Linked DNA regions of Tamandua tetradactyla. The protein of the gene in region 1 purifies or fractionates together with the protein of each later gene. This does not show direct contact. Links are inferred from orthologs where the notes say so. Each region holds a gene or a part of one and is shown in the gene's direction. Other genes may lie near its edges.

The links.
Region 2: the proteins of MAK (region 1) and KATNIP purify together in Homo sapiens (affinity purification with mass spectrometry; 3 studies listed by BioGRID and IntAct, with this or other methods). This does not show direct contact. The link is inferred for Tamandua tetradactyla from reciprocal best matches to the Homo sapiens genes MAK and KATNIP.

The regions. Positions count from the first base shown.
Region 1 is NC_135351.1:13,786,804-13,794,543, reverse strand, and holds the start of MAK (serine/threonine-protein kinase MAK), read left to right. Parts: upstream 1-4,713; 5' UTR 4,714-4,794; exon of another isoform or gene 4,795-4,888; intron 4,889-5,126; exon of another isoform or gene 5,127-5,259; intron 5,260-7,740. UniProt on the Homo sapiens protein: Essential for the regulation of ciliary length and required for the long-term survival of photoreceptors. Phosphorylates FZR1 in a cell cycle-dependent manner. Plays a role in the transcriptional coactivation of AR.
Region 2 is NC_135349.1:25,965,183-25,973,279, reverse strand, and holds the start of KATNIP (katanin-interacting protein), read left to right. Parts: upstream 1-5,089; 5' UTR 5,090-5,170; coding exon 5,171-5,278; intron 5,279-8,097. UniProt on the Homo sapiens protein: May influence the stability of microtubules (MT), possibly through interaction with the MT-severing katanin complex.

The DNA.
Region 1 (7,740 bases):
TGCTACCATGGATGGTATGAGAACAACTGGCAGGGTTTGGATCTGGGCTGAATATTAGATGATAGTATTTTATCAGTGCTAAACTCCCAGAATTTGATGATCATATTCTGGTTATTGTAAAAGAACATCCTTGTTCTTAGGAGTGAACGGTGACTGTGCCTGCAACTAACCATGAAATGGTTCAGCAAGAATAAGATTAAAAACAACAGTGGCTACAAACAATAGTAATAATAATAGATGCAGAGAGAGAAAGCAAATGTGTCGAAATCCAGGTGCAGGGTATATGAGTGTTCAGTACGCTATTCTTGCAACTTTTCTGTAGGCTTGGAATATTTCAAAATGTAAGTTAGAAACAAAATAAAATTAAACAGAAGGGATGATTTCAAAAGAAAATTGGGGGATTTAAAATTTTTGCTTGGCTATCTGAACTTCCCCCAAATTCCAAGACAATACAAATAAAATGTGGGTGAGGATAAACTCTAGTATTTTGTTTTTTTACACAAGACTGTGGCAAATGGACTTTCCACGAGGATCTCACAGTTCCTGTGCCCAGAGAATACTCAGAATGTATTTTCTGTGGCCTGTGGAGGGACACAGGAAATAAAAACATTTGTTGAATGGGAGGGACTAAATCTGGTATGGCATCTAAGATAACATCTAAGATAACCATGTGTTCTGGTTTGCTAGCTGCCGGAATGCAACACACCAGAGATGGATTGGCTTTTAATAAAAGGGGATTGATTTTGTTAGTTCTTCAGAGGAAAGGCAGCTAACTTTCCACTGAGGTTCTTTCTTACGTGGGAGGCACAGGATGGTCTCGCTGGTCTTCTCTCCAGGCCCCTGGGTTCCAACAACTTTCCCCGGGGTGACTTCTTTCTGCATCTCCAAAGGCCTGGGCTGAGCTGCTAGTGCTGAGATGAGGAATGCCGAGCTGCTTAGCTGTGCTACCTTGCGATCTCTCATTTAAGCACCAGCCAATTAAGTCAAATGTCACTTATTGCAACAGACACGCCTCCTAGCCGACTGCAGATGTAATTAGCAACAGATGAGGTTCACTAACATTGGCTTATGTCCGCAGCAACAAAACTGGCCAAGTTGACAACTGAATCTAACTAACACACCATGCCCTCATTTAAGCTATAGTGATTTATTAACATTCACTTTTTTTTTAAACTCTGGAAACACAAACACATGCAGTCAAATCACATGAACAGTTGAAGAAATTGTATAAAAGGAGAAGATAGGTAGGGAAAGAAAACAGAACTCAAGCTTTAAGGCTAGAATACAATCATACACCTTAAAAGTTCATGCACCTTAAGAATATTTGTGTTTAAAAAATTTTTTTTTAAAAAGTTCATGCACCATTTCTGGAGATGTGCTACAAATTTTTCCTTTGGAAGGGATGAGAAAAACAATGCAGGAGAAAGATGTTTTTCCTGGTATGGAATCCTCCTTAATCTTACCTTAGTTGCATGCATCTGTTATAATGCCCTGTTACTCCATATTTCCCAATACCAAATAATCATATTTTTGAAGAAAGTAGATACTCCTGCTTAAAAGAGATCTCACTGTGTCGCATGTTCACAAAGACAGCAAACCACAACCAACCAAAGCAACAAAAAACAAGAAAGAGGAGGAGGACGACAAAATCAGCTATTTAGAAACAACTGGCAGGTCTCCTCAGAGATACGCCTGAATCTAAGGCGAGGACAGTGAATATAGAAGACAAGCCAGGGGCATCTTATAGTGCTAGAAAGCAAGAAAATGCTAAAAAAAACAAACCCACAATGATGGGGTATGTCAAAGTGACCTAGGAATGGTCTGAAAGAACTCTCAAAGCTGGAATATTTTGAGCAACAAAATACAGTAGAATTAGATTATGAACCAAAGTATAAAACAAATATCCATGAGTCCACTGAAATGAATAAGTAAATGGCTCAATAAAAGGGGAGCAAAGAGAAAAATCTCTTGTTTCAGTTTCCTGGGCTGTGCAAGCAAATACCATGCCATGGGTCGGTTTAAACAATGGGAATTTATTTGCTCACAGTTTTGAGGCTAAAAGAAAGTCAAAATCAAGGTGTCAACAAGGTGATGCCTTCTTCCCAAAAGACTGGCATTCTGGGACTGGCTGCTGTTGATCCTTGGTCTTTGGCTTCTAGGTCACATGGCAGTGTACATGGCAACCTTTCCTGGCCTCTGTGCTTGAATTTCAGCTTTTTGCTTCCTATGGCTTTCTCTCTCTCTCTCTGAGTTTCGCCAACCACACCTTAACTAAAGTAGCCTCATCAAAAGGCCCAACTTACAGCAGGTCCACACCCACAGGAATGGACTAGTTTTAAGAACTTGTTTTTCTGGGGTATATATAGCTTCAAACCACCACATGGCCCATGTAGAATTTCAGATAGTTTACGTAGAAACTCTGTCCTCAAAGAGGTAGTGCTTCACTCCCCACTCCTTAAGTGGCATCTGCACAGAGCGCAGCCTTCTAAAGTGCACAAAATAGGGCGAGGAGGACAATTAACTTTACAGAGGAGAAACCTGACAAACACTACCTCAGCCAGGTGGTCAAGGCCACCATCCACAGCGATAACTCCTATTGATGCATGTATCTTGGTTTGATGAGATGAGAATGGCACTTTACCTCAGTGGATTTCCTCCCCTGAAACCATAACCACAGTCTAACCCTAAGAAAAACACCAGACAAACCCAACTGAGGGACATTCTACAAAACACCTGATGGATTCTCCTCAAAATGTTCAAGGTCATTGTGGTAATTAGGTTCAGGTGTTAATTTGGCCAGGTGTTGATGCCCCGTTGTTCTGTTGTGTGAACTTCAATCATTAGCATGTGGGATTCATCTATGGCTGACTACATCTGCAGTCAGCTAAGGGGAGTGCCTTGGGCAATGAGTGATATTTAATTTAATTAGCTGGAGGCTTAAAAGAAGAGGTCAGCAGCGAGCGCAACACAGCTCAGCCCACCTCAGCTCTTTCAGCTCAGCACTTTCAGCTCAGCCCAGACGTTTGGAGCTGCAGAAAGGAATTACCCTGGGGAAGCTGTTGGAACCCAGAAGCTGGGAGAGAAGGCCAGCAGAGATCAACCTGTGCCTTCCTGTGTAAGGGAGAACCACAGAAGAAAGGTAGCCTCCTTTCCTCAGAAGAACTATGTTTTTAACTAAATAAATCCCCTTTTATTAAAAGCTAATCCATCTCTGGTATATCGCATTCCAGCAACTTGGCAAACTAACACAGTCATCAAAAAAAGGAAACTAAGGAACTGTCACAGCCAAAAGGAGTCGGAGAAGACACGATGACTAAATGTAAAGTGCTACCTGGATGGGAGTCTGGATAAAAGGACATTAGAGAAAACTGAGGAAAACTAAGGAAATATGATTAAAGTATGGACCCTAATGAACATAATGTATCAGTATTGGTTCCTTAGTTGTCCCAAATATCCTATAGTAATATAAGATGCTAATAGTAGGGGAAGCTGGGTGTAGGGTCTGTGATCTCTTTGCAACTTTTCTGTAAATATAAAATTATTCCCAAACTAAGTTTATTAAAAATCTTGTTGATGGCTTGACATTTCCTCTGATTCTAATCATAAGTAAGTAAACTCCCATTCCTTAGGCTGAACCATTTCATGGTATTTGCTTTAAATAGCCTAAGGAACTAAAACAGAAGACAGAATGGAAGCAGATGACCAGTTAATAGGCAGTCACAATTATCCAGGTGAGAGCTGAAGTTGCTTGGATGAGGATGGTGGCAGTCACAATTATCCAGGTGAGAGCTGAAGTTGCTTGGATGAGGATGGTGGCAGTCTGGGGTGGAGTTTTTAAAAATGTAATTCTGCTCACATCATTTCCTGCTTAATTCCCTGCAAAGATTTCCCATACACATAGAATAAAATCTGAACTCCTGGGCCCTGACTACTCTGCCCATCTCATCCGGTCCTGTTTCCCCCCTCTGGTACACACGCCTACTGTTCCCTTTCCTGTGTGGTATCCCTGGCCCTGGACTTTACGTGGCTGGTTCCTTCCTTCCCTCAGGTCTTGGTTTAAATGTCCATCCTCAGAAAGACAGTGTTGCAATTCCCCGCCCCATCCCCACCCCATACCAAGAACAGAGCCTGGCATGTAGTAGGTGCTCAATGAGATCTAAGAAACTTTATTTTTCCCTTTTGCTCCTCTGAAAATAACAACAAAAAGGCAGGAATGATGCCACTGGCACTGCTTTCGCAGCTGTATACTCTAAAACCCCAACTGGCCCCAGAGTTACCTCCAGCCTCCACACCAATCCCCTTCTTTTTTGCTTACTTCAGGAGTTATTTTCCCCTGTCAGAAGCTAATTTCCCCTCCTGTCCTCTATACCCATACTTGAGGGATTGACCAAGAAGAGCAGTCTGTCCCCAGGCAGTATGTGAAAATAGAAGTCGCGGCAAACATATGCCTTTTTCTTCCGCTTCTGTCCAATCTGGGAACCAGCTTTTACTAATCAAGACTTTATAGAATGAATCGGACGGAAAGCGAACAAACGAAAAGACCAAACGGGGCAAACAAACCAGCTGCGACAAAGAACTGAAAAACTAGCCAAGACTCTCCCGAACCTCAAATCCGAAGGGCCCAGAAAACTAGTTCAACAGGGGTCTCCTGTTAAGCCCCGCCCCCGGGAGGCGGTCCTGGGCGTGGCTTCCCCGGCATGGTCCCGCCCCCTTCCCAGTAGGGCCAGAGCGCGCCCGGCGGTTGCCTAGGAGATGAAACACAGGACGCCAGAGCTTCACCAGGGAGCGAACGAGGTAAGCGGCGGGCGCGGGCAGGTAGTCCAGTCCTGCGAGGCCGGCCCGGCCTGGCCCCCGCCAACCTCCGCCGAGAACCCGGGCCCGGACGCCGGTAGGGGAGGGACGGAGGGAGGAGGGTCCTGGAGGGGGCGGGGCGCCTGGGAAGGGGGCGCTCCTGCCGGCTGACCGGGGCTCCCCGAGGCCCCCGGGACGGTTCCCTTCTCTCCTAGACTGCGGGGTCGGCGCCGGGGGGCGGGGTGGGGGGTCGGAGGGGGCTTTCCGTGATCGGAGCGATCCCGACCCAATCCCCCCACCCGGCTGGACTGGAGGGGACGGTTCTCCCTGGAGGAGGGCGGGGCGGGATCGGGTCCCGGAAGACGGTGGAGTTGAGTTCAGAAGAGTCGAAGAACAGAAAGGGAGAGGGAGAAAGATAAACCTGGGTCCACATGCCGTCCGCGATCTAGCACCCCAAATGACACGCAGGTAAACGCGGGATCCCCGCGCAGGGGGCGCCAGGGGACTGCAAGCGACCCCTTCTCCATAAACCCGCCACCCCCCGCCCCGCGAGTCTTTTAACGGCCCTGATTTGTGGGAAAGGATCAGACCATCCATGAAAACGAAAACTTTCTTTACTGCAGATTAGACGTTTTAATTTGCGGACAGGGCCAAACATAGAGTTTTGACGGAGTGGGGTAACATACAATTGAGCTTTAGTGGCCAGGACTCTCAATTCTAAAAGGAAAGAGATTCTGATTGTGTTTAGACACTTTTTTAGAATGAGCAGCACTTATTCTAATGATAACGAAATTTTCATCGAAGGAACCAAAAGTTCTCCGACTGATTTTGAGCAGAAAGTAAGATCAGAAAAAACAACCTATTAAGGCGAAACAGTGGTGTGGGCAAAAAGTCACATTCCAGGCTTTTGAGCTCCCTTTATCTTCCCCCACCCTCCAAGGGAGAACCGTTCTTCCTCTGAAAAGGAACAGTTTACTGCTTTTACTACACAAAGCTGGCCTTGGGCAGGGATGTTTGAACTCTTCTGGGGTGGTTTTGTTTTGTTTTTAAATGATTTGTAAACATTGGCACAGAGCACTGTACCTTTTCGTCTTTTTTGAAGACAGGACCGTTTCTTCCTCATTATTTTGATTTTTTTTCCGTTTTGTTTTTTAAACTTAGCGATTTTTAAAACATCAATTACCTTTTCTTTTTCTTTCTTTTTTTTACATTAATGCCAGTTTTGGAGTGATATCATTACAGTGTGTTCTATAAAGACAAGTTGAGGACATCTAAAACGTTACCTCTTCAGTGACTGTCAGCTGCTTATTTTACCCTTCATTTGCCCTCTATGTTAATCTTCTTTAATCCCGTATGAATCCCTTATTAGCTGACAGAAGCTGTTGAGAAGAAAGCTTAAGTTTACCATAATTATGCACTTAGAGAAACAGTAATTGTGCACTTAGGTAAAAGTAAGAACCAGAATGGGAGAAAAATTATAAGGGTATTGATTTAACATAGATCAGTAATCGAACCTCTAAATAAATGTCTTTTATTTAAATCAGAATGTAAGGTTTGTTTACCTCGTAGAAGAGTCAATAAATATTGTAGCTTGATTGTAAAAAAAAAAAAACTCCAGCAGAATTCCTATCAGTTCTATTAAATTAATTGACATTCATAGCATATTACATTTGTTTGTTGTATATATAGATAGAAAGCTAGATACATATGTATGTTTTTATATATATTTTTTTAGAAATGAGATAGTATATATTTTTATATGATTTTTATATATTCATGTATGCAAGAAATTGTTACTACATCCCTATTTGCAGAATTAGCTTTCCATAGATCAACAGAGAGGAATATATATAACTTATTGAAAAATATTATTGTTGTTCATGAACGAGGGACCATAGAAAGCCTGTATTTTCTTAAATTACATATTGTGGTTTTGACTAATATGAATCGGTTCGGGACCATGCTATGCTACTCAGATAGAAGTAGCTGTTTATGTGCTATCAGTGAATGGGGAAATGGGAATAATAAAAATGACACCTTCATCTTTGTATCTGCGCTTTTATACATGAGGCCATTGCCTCTGTGTTTTCAGGAGGATAGAGGGGACGGTGGAAATGGTCAGCTTCTAGAGAGAGTCTTATTTTGTAATTAATCTGGCTCAAAATAGGCCTTTCCAAAGTTTTTGCTTAGCACAGAGTACTTAAATGCATTTCACTTCAGGCGAACTGGTGGAGCTCAAATGGGACAGATTCTTACAGGGCCACAAATCTGAACTTTAAAAAAAATTTTCTGTCATACCCATAATCTCCTCCACTCCATCCCTCCAACAGAAGGAAGCGGGGAAATAGCCACGCCCTTTGTTTATTCTTCCCCAAGCGAAGGTACACCCTATCCTATAGCCATCCTCAGTTTAAACAAGATTGGTGTTTATTTGGAAGACGGTTCCTTAGACTTAGAATGCAGTTTCCCCAACAGCCTACTCCAAACACTGCCGGGGCTTCCAGGCCAGTGCACAAAGTCACCGCCTGCTGCATGCCCCGTTGGTGCCAAAGGTGCTGGTACCGGGAGGGCCACCCTTCCCAGCCTGGGCTGGTGGGATGGCCTTAATATTATGGAAGAGGAAGAGAAAATTAGCTCCATCACTTTTGCAGGTTGTTGAGCCAATGTGGGGTTAAAATGTTGACGAGGACTTCTGGCAGTCTTGCCTCTGAATTTCTGTTCCCACCTCTTCTCCCCACCCCCATGTTAGTGGGAGCAGCTCTCTCATTCATTCCCTTCTCAGGCAATATGTCCTTTTCCAGAATCGCCTCCATTACTTAGCAGGCCCTCAGTGCTTGTTGTCCTAGATGAGGTGTCAACATGAAAATAATTTGGCTTAAAAAAAAAAAAGATGCTGCTGTTATCCCATTAAATTTCTTAATTTGGTAATTTTCATGAGGGAAGGTCCAG
Region 2 (8,097 bases), on another chromosome or scaffold:
CTAGTCATATAAATAGATATAAAATCCAACACAGAAGTCTCTAGAAAATAACATTTGTACACTTCTTCACTTTTCCTGAAGCACTCTGGCCCACTGCCAGCTTTTGTAAATAAAGTTTTACTAGAACCCAGCCTTGCCCATTTGTATCTGTGTCATAATGACTGCTTTCATGCTACAGCAACTGAGACCATATGGCCTGCCGAGTCAAAAACGATTGACCAGCTGGCCCTTTTCAGGAACGGTTTGCTGATCCCCTGCCATGGTGAATCTCATTTCATTCTCGAGGTGGCCCAATACAACAATTATATAATTGTGCCCATTTTATGGCTCACAGTGAGTAGGTAGCAAAGCCAGGAGTCAACAGGATGAAGCATCCATAGAATGTCATCAAAAGCTTGTTTCACCATCCCCCTGCCAGTATTTGACCAGGTTCTCACATCTGGGGAAAGGGTCTGGGGCAAAGCCTGCCCACTATGTTGGCTAAGAAATAAACACTGTGTTCTAGTTTGCTAGCTGCCAGAATGCAATATAGCAGAAACTGAATGGCTTTTAAAAAAGGGGAATTTAATAAGTTGCAAGTTAACAGTTCTAAGGCCAAGAAAATGTCCCAATTAAAACAAGTCTATAGAAATATCCAATCTAAGGTGTCCAGGGAAAGATACCTTGGTTCAAGAAGGCTGATGAAGTTCAGGGTTTCTCTCTCAAGTGAGAAGGCACATGGCAAACACAGTCAGGTTTAGACTGTTTTCATCTGGAAAGGCAGGTGGCAAACAGGGCATCATCTGCTACCTTTCTCTCCTGGCTTCCTGTTTCATGAAGCTCCCTGGGAGGCATTTTCCTTCTTCATCTCCAAAGGTCACTGGTTGGTGGACTCTGCTTCTCATGGCTATGTCATTCTCTGCTCTCTTAGAAGCTCCCTTTTATAGGATTCTAGTAAATTGATCAAGATCCACCTAGAATGGGTGGAGACACGTTTCCACCTAATCCAGCTTAAGAACCACTCTTGATTGAGTCACATCTCCAGGAAGATGATCTAATTAAAGTTTCAAACACACAGTACTGAATAGGGATTAGAAGAAATGGCTGCCTTTACTAAAATGGGATTAGGATTAAAACATGGCTTTTCTAGGGTACATACCTCCTTTCAACTGGCACATTATACCCTCTGGACCCTAAAAAAAAAGACATGTTTTCCCCATATACAAAATACATTAATTCCATCATAATATCAGAAATCCTTAAACCATTTCAGTAGCAATACAAATGAAATACAAAGTTAGAAACAGTGCAAACTCCTATCAAAGTTAGTTACAGGCATAGTCTGTCTTAAAGAGAAATTCTCCTCTGGCTCTGGACCTTGATTCAAGACAAGTTATTTGCTGCCAACATACAAAGGAGGAACAGTCATAGGATACCTATACCCATTTCCATAGGGAGGAATTGGAAGGAACACAGGGGTCACTGGACCCATATATTTTTCGAAAACCTGCAGGGCAAAGTCCATTAGATTTCAAAGTCTGAGAGTCATTTATCTTCAAGGTTTTAGAAAGCAACAGTCCCACCCTTTCCAAAGGCCTTCGCAGAGGCCTGCCTCTCTCTGAATGCAACTTTGGGGGACATTGAGGAGACCACCTTTTTCCCAGCTCCACCTTCTCCAAGGATCGGGGTCTACACCTGGGCTCTCTGCCATCTCCAGGACACATGTTCAACCCCTCCCTTTAGTGGCAGCCAGGCTCTCCCCAAACCCCAAGGAACATGCTTCACCCTCTCCAAGGCCTGAGGCATCCCACTGCAACCAGGTGGAAGGCCCACCCTCTGCCTTTGGGGTAAACTCACCCTCTCCACCTACTTGGGTGCATCCACTCTCCTGGCCCAAGGCTTCCTGATTTCAGACCCCAGCCTCCTTGGCTTTGCCTCTGAAGTTATTTTTCCTCCAGTGTGTCCCTTCTCTGTCATTCTCAGTCCCGACTAGCAGTGGTTCTCTTTATACAGATCCCACAACGCTCTCATTGGCTTTCTATGCAGTAGCCTTGGATCATGCCCGTCAGACATAAGGAGTTTCCACAAACCCTTCCTGGATAACTCCATGTCCAATCCTGGCTCTCTCTGAAATGGCTGACTGGTTTCACATTTGGCCAACCCCTCACATGGGGCACTATTCTCTGGGGTCTCCCTTTCTAGAAGCCCAGAATTTTCCAGAACATCAATTTCTGGTTTCTTTGTACTCAAGAGTTCAGTTCTCAGCTTCTCTCTCTCTTGTTGCATGTCACTGTAAGCTGTGAGGAGGAACCAAGTTGCACTTTCCACATTTTATTTGGAGATCTCTTTGGCTAAATATCCAAGTTCATGGTTTTTAAAATCTGCCTTCCAGCCAAAGCCACTAGTCAAGTTTGCCAGATTATCTGCCATTTTAAAACAAGGATTGCTTTCCTCCCAGTCTATAATAATATGTGCCTTATTTCTGTCTAAGACTTTATCAGAAGACTCTAAAGAGTCCACATTTCTACAAACAGTCTCTTCAAAGCATTCTAGGTCTTCTTTATCAAGCTCTTTATAACTCTTCCAGAATCCTCCCCCCATCCATTTAAAAAGCCATTCCAACATGTTTGGTATTTGCAAACCACAGCAGCACCCCGCTCTCAGTACCAAAATCTGTTCTAGTTTGCTAGCTGCCAGAATGCAATATAGCAGAAACTGAATGGCTTTTTAAAAAATGGAATTTAATAAGTTGCAAGTTTATAGTTCTAAGACCTAGAAAATGTTCCAATTAAAACAAGTCTATAGTAATATCCAATCTAAATTGTCCAGGAAAAGATACCTTGGTTCAAGAAGGCTGATGAAGTTCAGGGTTTCTCTCTCAAGTGAGAAGGCACATAGCAAACACAGTCAAGTTTTGACTATTTTCATCTGGAAAGCCATGTGGCAAACATGGGGTCATCTGCTAGTTTTCTCTCCTGGCTTCCTGTTTCATGAAGCTCCCTGGGAAGTGTTTTCCTTCTTCATCTCCAAAGGTCACTGGCTGGTGGACTCTGCTTCTCATGGCTATGTCATTCTCTGCTCTCTTAGAATCTCCCTTTTATAGGATTCCAGTAAAGTAATCAAGATCCACCTAGAATGGGTGGAGACATGTCTCCACCTAATCCAATTTAAGAACCACTCTTGATTGAGTCACATCTCCAGGAAGATAATCTAATTAAAGTTTCAAACACACAGTACTGAATAGGAATTAGAAGAAACAACTGCCTTCACTAAATGGAATTAAGATTAAAACATGGCTTTTCTATGGTACATACATCCTTTCAAACCGGCAAATGCTGTTTTAAAGGCCCTGCCCTCTACTGCCTTCTCAACTCCCTTGGGGTTTGACCCTGTGGCTGCTCCTCTGTCTCCAAGTAGGAAAGGGCTCAGGAGCAGCGATGTGGCAGGAAAGAAAATCTCAAAGCTGTTTGCAGAGCACTTTAAATAAGATGAAGCAATTGCCAGTTGTTCTTAATCGCATTGGCCTGCCTACTGGTGCCCATGGGATTTTTGAACAGCCTGACCTTGTGGCCTTCACAGTTGCCCTATAGACATATCATCTTTAATTGGAGAATTCCCCTGGAGAAGCATTTCCCCTTCGCATCCCCCACTTGGCTGTTCTGCTGATCTCCAGCCTCATCTTTACACGGTCACCAACCCACAGTCATGCCCAGAGGTTTTATACTGGACTGAACTGGGGCCATAGGAGAGTTTTCTTATATTTAAAAATAGAGATTTAACATAAAACCTGGACTGCTCAGTTTTTCTTGAAGAACAGGATGCTTTGGCCCTGCTAGTGCCCACTCCCTTGACCCTGGATACATGCTGACAGTTTGGTTGGTGGTACCAGTCACCAGGTGCCCACTTCTTGCGTTGATACCACTGGCCTAGCCCTGGAGGCACTTGAGATTTCAATGCCTGCCCAAGTTACCTCATAACGCTAGCCATCTCTTAGGCACAGCCTTGGCCCTGACCGTGCTCCTTGCCAACTTCACCATTCTCTCATGACACCTCCTGCTGTAGATCACAGCAGCTGGCACCACCTGCAGAATGAGCTCCTCCTGCCTGGTGGGATCCCACAGCTTTTTATGCAGCATTGCATCAGAGTCATTGGGCTCCATGCCTTTTCCTTCTTTGAGAGCAGAAACCTACTCTTGTTCCTTTGTGTGTTCAACACTTGGCACCAAGACTAGCACAGAAAAAGGCCCAGGAGTGTAACCAGGAAAGAGATTAACCAACTTTTCCCTCGGTGCATTGCTGGCAGACAGAGTAAAGGCCCTTGTATCCAAAGCCAAACCTCCAGGCCCAGTTCTCAGAGGCCTTTGCTGGTTTAGTGGAGGGGTATGGTCCCTCCAGACAGTGTCCTTTAGATTAAGCCCACTTGGAGTAATATTTCCAATCCTAGTCACTTTTTACTATACCCCTTAGCCTCTGTTTTCATTCTTTTCTTCCTCTTTAGTCTCCTAGGCTGCTCGAGCAAATACTATAAAATGGCTAGCATAAACTACGGGAATTCATTTGCTCTTTGTTTTGAGCCTAGGACAGAGACCAAATCATGGCATCATCAAAGTGATATTTTCTCCCTGAATACAGGAGAATACAGAATTCAGGAGTTCCTGAATTCTGGGACTGGCTGCTGGTGATCCTTGTTTCTTAGCTTGTCACATGGCAAGGCACATGGCAGCATCTTCTCTTCCAGGTTCTACTGATGTTCAGCTTTTGAAATTGAAAGTTCCCTCTGTGGCTTTCTCGTTTTGTCTGAATTTCATCCCTCTTTTAAAGATTCCAGTAATAGACTTAGGACCTATCCTGATTGAGGTGGGCCACACCTTAATTGAAGTAACTTCATCAAAATGTCCTACTTATAATGAATTCACATCCACAGGAATGGTTTAATTTTCAGAACATATTTTTCTATAGTACTTACAGCTCCATACCACCACACTCCACCTACTTTTCCCATCCTCCCTCCATTTCCTTTCCCAATGAAGTCACTTTTACTCCCACCTCCCACCTCACTTTGGAGCCTGCTGCTACCTTGACCTCCCATAGCTGATGGATTCTCTGGAGACAGCCCCTGTCTTCACGTGTCCTTTGTGGGTCATAAAGGCCCATGTGGTGAGGCAGCCGGCAGGGAGGGAAGGTGCCATGCATGTCAGCTCAGCAGCTACAGAACCCCCACAGGGACCACACACTTCAGAACTCTAAGCAAACTTGTGCTACATTATATGTGCTTGCCTGTGCAGGTTTGTGTTTTCAGGTATGTGTTGTGTTTCCTTTCCAGAGTCTTAAACTATTAGAGATGCATTTTATGAACCCACCTAAAATCACAGGATGTTAGAGCTTGGGGGAGGAGGGCACTTAACCAGTCTAGTCCAGGGTCGCATTTGTAGAACCTTGGGATATCTGAAGATGTTGAGGATCCAGTGCAGGGGCCAGGCAGGTAATGTAAATGAGACAGTGGGCAGGGTTTATTTAATTATGCTGCTTTATGTTAGGTTCTTTCAGCACCCAAATAGATTTTGCTCATTTGACACCCCGGAATAGTCTTCATTTTCATAAAGAAATCTGTTGTCTACTAATTTCTTGAAGCATGCAGCCTCTTCCCTCTCTCCACCATGTATAAAATGGGATAATAATTGTGTGGCCTCCTAGGGTTGTTGGGTGAATTAAATGAGTGATTCGAGGCACCATCCTTCCGTCAGGACCTGGCGCACACTAATTGCATGTATAATCGTTAGTGCTCTGGTGATTCCAGTGATGATGATCTCACTTTTGCCGGGAGATGTGAACTTTCACTTTCATCTTTACTGTAAAGAAAACTGTTCAGGCAAGACGATAAATGGCATCTGGGACTTAGCCTCAATGGCTGGGAGAGAGTGGGAGAGGTAGAGGTGGGGAACTGGCAGATGCTGGGCCATCCATCAGGGCGCTGCCCCTCAGCACCCAGGCAGGAACACAGGCCCTGTGTTGCCAGGTCTTTTCGTTTTTCAAAAGAAACCAGAAATCAGGATTTTTAAATGTCAGCTCACCCAAGCTGTAAAGGTTGGCTGAAAAAAACATTCTGTTTAAACCTTAGGGGGATCAGACAAACATCTGCAGGCTGGCTTCAGCCAGTGAGCTAGACTTTGGATCTGGTCTGATCGCCGTCATCTATCGGATTCTGAGGCTTAGGCACAGGGGAATTAAGTGCCCGCTGACACTTAATTCTCCCATGAGTAAGGAGAACAAGGCCCAGGTCTGTTGTGAGACCAGCAAAACCTTCCTCCTAAAGAGCCCACAGGGTGGAAGCTTCTGCTTTGTGATGGAGATTTCATTTAAGCCTGCAGAAGGAAACCATGAAAACCAGAGCAAAGGGTTAAACTCTTCTTCTTTCCCTCTTTTCGTGTTGTTGCTCAGGATCCCAAGCCTTCTTATTCTGGAGAGTTGCAGAAGAGCAGAGCTTATTGCATCAGACTAAGGAGGTTGGAACTCTGGCTCCCCCTCCTACCAGCCATGTAACCTTGGGGGTATTACATTTTATTTCTCAGTACTCAAACTTCTTTTTTATTTTTTGGCTTGGGCAGCCTTCAGGAATCAAACCCAGGTCTCCGGCATGGCAGATGAGAATTCTGCCACTAAGCCACTGTTGTACCGCCCTTGACTCCTAAATTATAAAATGGAGATAATAATAGGACCTTCCTGTAGAACTGCTATGAGGATCAAATTAATGCATCCACTCAAAATTCTTAGAATGATACATGGCACTTGGTAAGCTCTAGTAAAAGTTAGCTGTCAGAGAAAGGGATGCATTTTTCCTTATGGTTCTGGGGGATCTCATGCACCATTTCCTGTGTTCCCCAGCGCAATTTGGCAGATTTGGGGGGGGTTGGGGGTGGGGGAGTAGATACTCCAAAAGTTCTTTAATTTGGATACATACACATAGACACACATAGTTTCACAAATTGATTGTCCATACTTGTATTCAATGGGGAGGATGGGATTAGATCAGGGTGTGAAGTGGGAATGGATTTTGGAGCTTCATATGATGGATAGAGAGGTAGAACAAAGTCCATTTCAGCCTGGGAAATGTGCTGTCACATAAGCTACTGATTAGATTACATAAGTGTGGCATTTTCTTATCTTTACAGTCCAAATGGGGAAAAAAATCAATATTTTCCAATTATCTCCATTGGGGTATTAAACTTACTTTGTCATATTTCATTTCACCATCCCAGAAATAGTGAGGGGAAAGGGCCGGGAAGGCACATTACAAGTGAAGATGAAGTCTTTACTGCAGTTCATAATTACACCGCCTGTCCCTTCCTACATTGTCCATTCAGAAATGTGGTCATTTACTCATTCATCGATTCTGTTCATGTCGACGGGTCCCTACTCCTTTCCAGCCACTGTTCCAGATGTGGAGAGTTCAGTGGTGGAAAAGCAGAGATTCAGCTGGGGAGACAGACCACAAACACACAAATCATAAGGGAAAGCTCAGATAAGCTCTGGGCAGAGGATCCAAGGAGGAAGAAATGGGGGCGGGTCCCCTCTGAGGAAGTAGGGCTCTTCCAGTTGAGAGCCCATGTGTCAGAAGGAGCCAGCCTGTAGGAGACTGAAGGTAAGAGTCCTCCAAGAAGGGATCAGTGAGGGCAAAGGCCCTGAGGCAGGAAGGAATTGTACATCCAAGAAGCAGAAGATAGGCCAGTGCAGCTCTGAGGGTGTGAGTGTGAGGGAGGGGAAGAAAGAAAAGAGTGAGGTCCGGGAGCCCACATGGGGTCAGCCAGGGAAAGGATTTTGGATTCTTCTCTTCACACAGAGGGAAATTTTGGAGGGTCAAGAAGGCATGAGATATGGCCGTATTTAGAGATGGCCACCGTGGGAAAAGCCAGGCCCTAGTGGAGACAGGGACACCTACCTGGTGGATATTGAAGTTCAATGAGAGATCAGGAAGGCTTGGAGAGGGATGGTGCCAAGGCGCCCATGGATGCAGGGTATATCTGGGAGGCAGAATTCAACAGAACTTGCTGGAATCCATGAATAACAGTTTCTGGGTAAAGAAACTAATAACTGCCAAGTACCTGTATGTGCTGGGCACCG